Linked DNA regions of Oryzias latipes. The protein of the gene in region 1 purifies or fractionates together with the protein of each later gene. This does not show direct contact. Links are inferred from orthologs where the notes say so. Each region holds a gene or a part of one and is shown in the gene's direction. Other genes may lie near its edges.

Evidence for each region. The genes of interacting proteins can lie anywhere in the genome.
Region 2: the proteins of dual specificity protein kinase CLK2 (region 1) and psme3 purify together in Homo sapiens (affinity purification with mass spectrometry; 3 studies listed by BioGRID and IntAct, with this or other methods). This does not show direct contact. The link is inferred for Oryzias latipes from reciprocal best matches to the Homo sapiens genes CLK2 and PSME3.

What each region holds. Positions count from the first base shown.
Region 1 is NC_019869.2:6,668,161-6,671,678, reverse strand, and holds the end of dual specificity protein kinase CLK2, read left to right. Parts: coding exon 1-36; intron 37-357; coding exon 358-440; intron 441-1,683; coding exon 1,684-1,763; intron 1,764-1,850; coding exon 1,851-1,950; intron 1,951-2,041; coding exon 2,042-2,230; 3' UTR 2,231-2,995; downstream 2,996-3,518. UniProt on the Homo sapiens protein: Dual specificity kinase acting on both serine/threonine and tyrosine-containing substrates. Phosphorylates serine- and arginine-rich (SR) proteins of the spliceosomal complex.
Region 2 is NC_019877.2:17,757,868-17,761,620, reverse strand, and holds the start of psme3 (proteasome activator complex subunit 3), read left to right. Parts: upstream 1-1,046; 5' UTR 1,047-1,165; coding exon 1,166-1,207; intron 1,208-2,173; coding exon 2,174-2,206; intron 2,207-2,316; coding exon 2,317-2,379; intron 2,380-2,525; coding exon 2,526-2,630; intron 2,631-2,711; coding exon 2,712-2,760; intron 2,761-2,842; coding exon 2,843-2,961; intron 2,962-3,120; coding exon 3,121-3,257; intron 3,258-3,371; coding exon 3,372-3,426; intron 3,427-3,753. UniProt on the Homo sapiens protein: Subunit of the 11S REG-gamma (also called PA28-gamma) proteasome regulator, a doughnut-shaped homoheptamer which associates with the proteasome. 11S REG-gamma activates the trypsin-like catalytic subunit of the proteasome but inhibits the chymotrypsin-like and postglutamyl-preferring (PGPH) subunits.

The sequences.
Region 1 (3,518 bases):
CGACGCGGCATTACCGAGCTCCTGAAGTCATTCTAGGTGAGCGCTTCTCTTATCAAGCTGACGATCTGAGGGCCGTGAAGAAGAAACGGATGAAAGTCGGTCAGTTTATCCAGCTTAAGAAAGTTAATTCTCTATCTGCTGGAAAAAGTTGAGCATTTTCTGTTGTAAAGAACAGAAATGTCAGACTTCCAGGTCTGACGTTTTCCAGCTGACCTCATAAATGCAGCGCGGTCACGCGGCTCTTCATTATTCCTCATACATGGGAATGTCACGAGAGGAGCTTTTTTGTTGTTGTTTTTTTTAAGTTTGTCTCATGAATTCACCTTTTCACGAGTCCTGACTTGTTTTGCCGTGCAGAGCTGGGTTGGAGTCACCCCTGTGACGTGTGGAGCATCGGCTGCATCCTCTTCGAGTACTACTTAGGCTTCACTCTGTTTCAGGTACGTAACCTGTAGGTCATTGCTCGTGCCGCCGAGGACGTAACTGTGATTATCCTAAACAGAAATATGGAGAAAGTGTGTATTCTGTCACATTAAAACTTCTCATGTTTGAATCCCTTTAATCTGGGATGTCCTGATCCAGTTAGTGATCAGAAAGCGGGTCTGATTGGGTAGTTTGAGACTTAGGATCAAAAAGTCATGAACTGATCCGTGTTTTAAAACATTTCCGTTTTACTGCAAGTTTAATGTAAATAAGAGTTAACGTAACTTCAATTACACTCCAAATGACCCTCGTCTACATAGGAGGCGAACATCTAACATAAAAGAGCTTCATCTGATTGGTCAATGATGTAAAGGAGTCCATCTGATTGGTCAATGCATAAAGGGATTTACTTCAGACTTCCATAGATTGTTTTAGCACATTTAAGGTTACTAGTTATAGAAATTTTCGGCATCTTTTGCGATATACGTATTGCACAGCTCGATATCGCCATAACGATAAATTTGCGATTAATTGTGCGGGCCTACTGCTGTGTATTTGTAAAATACTAGAGGTCTGGAATTATTTGAATTCCTGGATTTCTGTCCTATTTACAAGTTCAACAAACAAGGACTGCTTGGAAAAATGAAATACACATTTTCAGACATTTAACTTGATGGACCTTGTCAGTTATTTTATTAAATTAGATAACGTTCTTTATCCCACGATGGGGAAATTCTAATTCCAAATGGGGAAATTTGCCGTTCCACATTACTCAAACTGTCAATGCTGATGACCTTTTTGGGGTCACGGCATTGCTATGTGGCTGTGGTTGGCAAACACACCGGTGCATTCAGACACTGCTGAATATTAAAATGAAGAGAAAACCCGAATCTGTGTATTCAATGTATTCATTTTTTTTTTACATGTTACAAAAGTATCGGATCTGGACTCGGTACCGGCACATACCAAAAATCAGATGACTGAAATCCTAAAAATCTGATGGGGAGATCACTAGTTTTTATGACAGACTGTTAGGCTTACTTAACCTTAACCAGGGACCAAATCCAAGTCCCCGATCGGTCCAAGTTCAACTGATTTAACTTTGAATGCGCGTTCAATGGCCGCACGTGTTTACGCAGATATAAAAACTCCCCAACAGACGCCTGACGTGCGCTTTTACGCATCGCAGGACAGGAAGCAGAATGTTTGTTGTTTTCGAGACTTCTCTTTAAGTCCCGACCTGTCGTCTTTATGTTTCAGACTCACGATAACCGCGAGCATTTGGCCATGATGGAAAGAATTCTGGGCCCGGTTCCCTCCAGGATGATCCGCAAGACTCGGTAGGAGAACCAAAGAAGACGTGGCGGCCACAAACGAAGCAAATCCACTCAGATGACGATTTCCATTTTCTGACCTGTGCTGTTTAGGAAGCAGAAGTATTTCTACCGCGGTCGCCTGGATTGGGATGAGAGCTCCTCTGCAGGAAAATATGTCCGAGAAAACTGCAAACCCTTACGGGTGAGTGAAGTAAGAACAGTTCACTATGAAGACTAAGCGTTTTATTCTGATCCCGGTTGAATTCCAAGCGGCCGTGCTGATCTGTGGGGTTTTTCCATAGCGTTATCTGCTGTCGGAGGCGGAGGAGCACCACCAGCTGTTCGACCTGATAGAAAGCATGTTGGAGTACGAGCCGGCCAGGAGGCTGACGCTGGCCGACTCCCTCAAACACCCCTTCTTCGAGAACGGGGGCGCCAGCGATGCTGCCGGCAGCAAGAACTGGGATAGCAACCGGGACATCAGCCGGTGACCCTCCGGCCTGCAGAGACTCGACCGAGGAGATGGAGTCCTTCCCACGTAAAAGCGGAGCCTCAAAAGAAGTCGGTGTTGGCGGCGTGGACGTTCTCCATCTGCTCCCTTTGCTTCTGCGGCCAAACTCTGCCCCCAAACTCTGAAATCAACACCGGTAATATCCGACTCGTTGGCTGAAGCCGGCCTCCGTGCAGCTCCCGTCTTCCTTTGGACCTTCCAGAACCTTCGTCCTCGCCGCGTGAGAGCTCCCATCAGCGCGAAGAAGAAACGTCTTCCATTTCTGACGTCTGAGGAAGATCCATCGTTCACAAAACATGAACGTTTTTAAAAGGACGACACCCCCCCCACCTTGCTCACTTGGTCCCGTGTGCCGGTGAGCTGATTGGCTCTCTGCCCGCAGGAGCCCGCCGTGCTGATGGATATTTGTTAAACTGTTTTTTTTGTTTTGTTTCCTAAATGTGTGTATCTGCGCATGGAGAGGTGAGGGGCTGCGTTCTGGTGGTCTGTTCTTCTTCTCACATCATTTAACCTCTTCCTCGTTTCGGTGACCCCACAGCTCCCCCTGCTGGTATTTATTATTATTTTTCCTTCTCGTTTAGGTCACGGTGCCCTGTTCTCATTCTGTACATTATTTTTGTTGGGTTTTTTTTGTATGAGATTCTGAGCGTATAGAATTGTATATATGTACCATTGTGTAGAATTAAAGTCTTGCCTAAAGGCCGCCGGAGCTGCTGGTGGCGCTTTGGGTCTTTGCTCCTGAAAACGCAGAATTCTCTATCCGTTTTCCAGACAACTGAAGAAAACATTTCAGTAAATTCACCGGAATCATACATCACTAAAGATACATTTGACATTTATGTCCAGCAGCCGTCCTCAACAGAGGGACCAGATTTTTTTTCCCCCCACAATTTTTCTTTCTTTCTGCGCCTTTTAGCTGAAATTTCCACGTTTTTTACATTTTCTTGAAATTTCCACCTGGAAACACTAGTACCCAGTTAAAAATTAATTTTGGACCATCTGGATCCAAAAAAAAAAACGAAGAAAAAATATGACATCATAGCGGGAGAAACCATTAATGAGTGGGACCCAAATCACTTATGGGGTTAAAAAACATTTCAAAGTTTACTAAAGCAACAAAAGCGTGGGATATTCAAAAAAAAGTGTTGAAATTATTATGGGATGGTCGCAGGACATATGGCTTGGTGGCCATATTGTGTTTTTTTTTTGTTTTTTTTTATACATTTTTGCACAATATGGGAAAAGGGAACTTGTTCAAGCGGTCTGCA
Region 2 (3,753 bases), on another chromosome or scaffold:
TTTTTAATGTTGTGAAACAAAAAAAAAAAAAAACTCTCCCTCTCTGTTTTGGCTCTTGAAGGAGCCTTTGATCTTTGGGGCGGGGTTAGACATTTGTGATGACCTGCCCGCCCCTGGACTTCAGGGTCTGGAGTTCTGACTTTGGAACAGCTAGTGACTGCAAAAGGTCACAATGCATTGCGTTTGAACAACTTCTGAAAAGCAGATGTATTTAAATGTATGTTATAAAATAAATTTTAACGTTTTCATCTTCAGAACACAGTGGATTTATAAATGGTTGTCGCAAAATGCTCATATCAATGAGATTTTCACATTGTGAAATCGATTACATCATATACGCCGTTTAAAAAAAGAGTGAGTATGGTGTCCGAATTGCTTTTAAAATCCAGGGCTCTACTTAGTCGTGCACTATATCGTTTTTTAGTAGTCAGGGATAAGGGTGGATCTGGACACAGCCACCGATTTTTGCTTCCGGAGTGGAATTCCGTCTGCTATTTATTTTTCTGCAGCTAGGTACTGGAAAATTAACAAATCTTCCACCACCACATTAATGAACTTTTTTCACCTAGACACAGGCCAATGTATTTGTTAGGTATGAAGAGATAACAGAATTACAGGGAAAATAGAACATTAGTTATTAAAGATTATCAATATCATTTTATTATAGAGGATATTCTTAACAAGTTGGTATTTTTTTATTTTTAAAAATTTCTCTATATTTTAACATATTGACGTTTTTCTCAAATTCTGGTTGCATCTCCAAAGTAAAATGAAATTGCCAATACTTGTTTTCAACAATTTGATTATACTGTTGTACGCAATGTTTGGTAATATTATATACAATACATATTTGTGCGCATAAAAGGCACAATTCCCGTTATTGTTGCTAAGACTTTTCTAAATATTTTTATATAATAATAATAACAACAACATCAACAATAATGATAATCCTGAAGTAAAAATAAAAAGATGGATTCCAAAACTTTGAAGATTTACATTTGTAAAAACGGTTTATCAATAAAGATTTTGGCGGAAAAAGTGCAACTGTCGCGTAATTACGTCATCTTTAAGCTACACAAGTGTGGCTGACAGCAAGAAGCCACACGTTTACAGGAGACTTTATTGTTGCTGGGATAAACGTCCTATCTACATTTGATCCCAGAAGATGTCTTCACTCCTCAAAGTGGACAGTGAAATTAAAACCAAGGTGATGTTTGTCTGAACGGCCCCTGCGCGTGTTATTGTGGGAATTAGCCTGCTAGCATTTTGCGGCATGTTGTGGAGTCTTTGGTTAGCTTTAGCGCTAGCTAGCAATGTCTAACCGGTATGTTTCCCGCCTGCTGCAATTTATCTGTCAAAACTTATCACAGGTGCTGCGACAGACTGGTAAAATGCTTCAAATGGGTGGAATTAAACGTCTTATTGCGTGCTTGTTATGTTTAATTGATAGTTTGAGACAGAAGACCACATGTCAGGAAGGCCTTAGCCTCCACTGTGGCTAAGCTACAACCGACCCACCGGCGTCATCATGCTACAACTTTATATCGACTCCTTGTTGCCCTGATCAGTATTTAAACTAACTTTAAAGAGCGTGTCGTTTATCAAATTTAAGCAAATGAAAAAAATGCGAACTACGGAGAGACTTATTCATTTAGAGACTCTAATAATATAATAGTTCCCTAAAGAAATAACTACAATAAGTTTAGGTTTAAAAAAAAGGTTTAGTCTGTGTTGGTGCACATGAATATAAACCTTTTATAAGTAATATTTATGGTTTATTTCTGTAGCTTTTATATGTACGTTTCTATCTATGATAGCAAGATTAAAGAAACATGTGCTTTTTAGATTATGTTAAATCTGTTTTATTTTACTGAAATATTGATTCTTTTTTCTTCTTAAAACTGCTTTGATCATATAAAAGTATGTAGTTAATCAAAAGTTGATCTTACTTGCATTCTTTAATCTTAAAAATAATAATAGTAAAATAATCTATCGTTATTTTACTGTAAATTTTATCCATAACATAATTAAACTTTGAAGAATGAAAATCGATTATGGCTGTGTTTTATTTTTTCAACTAACCTTATAGTAGAAAATAAATTCTCACTGAGAAACACATGTTCGTGGGATGTACTGATGCTGAACTTTTGTCTAAATATTTATTATTTTACAGGTTGATGCATTCAGGGAACGGATCACAGCAGAAGTGAGATTTGCATTTGGAATACTTTTTTTTCTATTTTTTTTTTATTTAAACCCCCTTTTTTAAAGAACAGTATTAGTATTAAAGTTTTTTTCTATTTGCTTCTCTCTTAGGCAGAGGATCTAGTTGCAAATTTCTTTCCAAAGAAATTACTGGAACTTGATTCTTTTCTTAAGGTATGTTTTATCCTTTGTAATCTTAGTTGTTCAGTATGAAACTTTCTTTAACTACAGTTTTGACTCTAACTACTGTTGGCACAGTAAAAAAAAAAAAAAGTGTAATCTGATTACAAAAAAAGAACAAATTTGGTTCCCCCCCCCAGGATCCAAGCATAAACATTGTTGAGCTGAAAGACATACACTCAGAGATTAACCTGACAGTACCCGACCCCATCCTAATCCCAAACCTTCACGACGGACTGGAGGCAGTGAGTTGTGGATTTTTACAGCACTTCCTTTTAACTAATTTGTGTAGAAAAACTTCTAATTTTGGGGAATCTTTTCCACAGCAAAACGCCAAAAAGAGGAAGCTTGAGGATGGGAGTGGAGAGGACAAAAGTAAGGACTGTTTTCATTTTCAAACTCATGTCAGAGTGGACTGTGTGCCTGGTAACTAACTTAACTTTCTTTTATTTCCAAGTGACCGGAACCAAAGTCTTTGTCATGCCTGGTGGAATGATGAAGAGCAATGGGAATCTTGTTGATCTCATAGAAAAGGTCAAGCCGGAGATCAGGACGCTCATAGAGAAATGTAACACAGTAAGTTGCCTTTGCATGTATTAATGTCTTAACGCTTAAATGTCTACAGGCACCTCTGCATTGGCCCTGATCTGAAGTCTTATGATAAAAAACTGGGTGAAAAAATGTTGGCAACCCACATTTTTTGTTTTTGTCTTTTCCTCTAAATTCAATCTTCAGGTCAAAATGTGGGTTCAGCTGCTCATCCCAAGGATAGAGGATGGCAACAACTTTGGAGTCTCAATTCAGGAGGAGACAGTAGCCGAACTCCGAACAGTTGAAGGAGAGGCAGCCTCTTACCTCGACCAAATATCGAGGTAAATCAAACACTTTAGAGAGCAAAATACGAACTTTGTAGCATCAGTGCTTAGTTGTTTTGGTTTTTTTGGTCATGTTTTGATTGAATATGTTCTTTTATTCTCATTTTCTAGGTACTACATAACGAGAGCAAAGCTGGTTTCAAAAATAGCAAAATATCCGCATGTGGTAAGTAAATGTCCTTCAGTAGGGATGTGGATGAAAATGGTTTGGTATTTTGTTCCTGTTGCTGTAAAAAAATGGATGCTTTTAGAAGCATTTCAAAATAGTCATTGGAAAGCTAGGGATTAATAATTAATTTCTGTAACTAGCTGTTTAAAAAAAATATTGATTTGGAAAAACACCCTTCACTAAAAACTGAACATGTTCCTGTAATTTTTTTGAGCAATTTGTTACAAGCTACTTATTAAGAATGTATCAGGAGTTTTGCACTGAAGCTCAGAGGAAGATAGGGTTATTGATAAAAAAACAAACAGATTTGCACCGCACAGATCA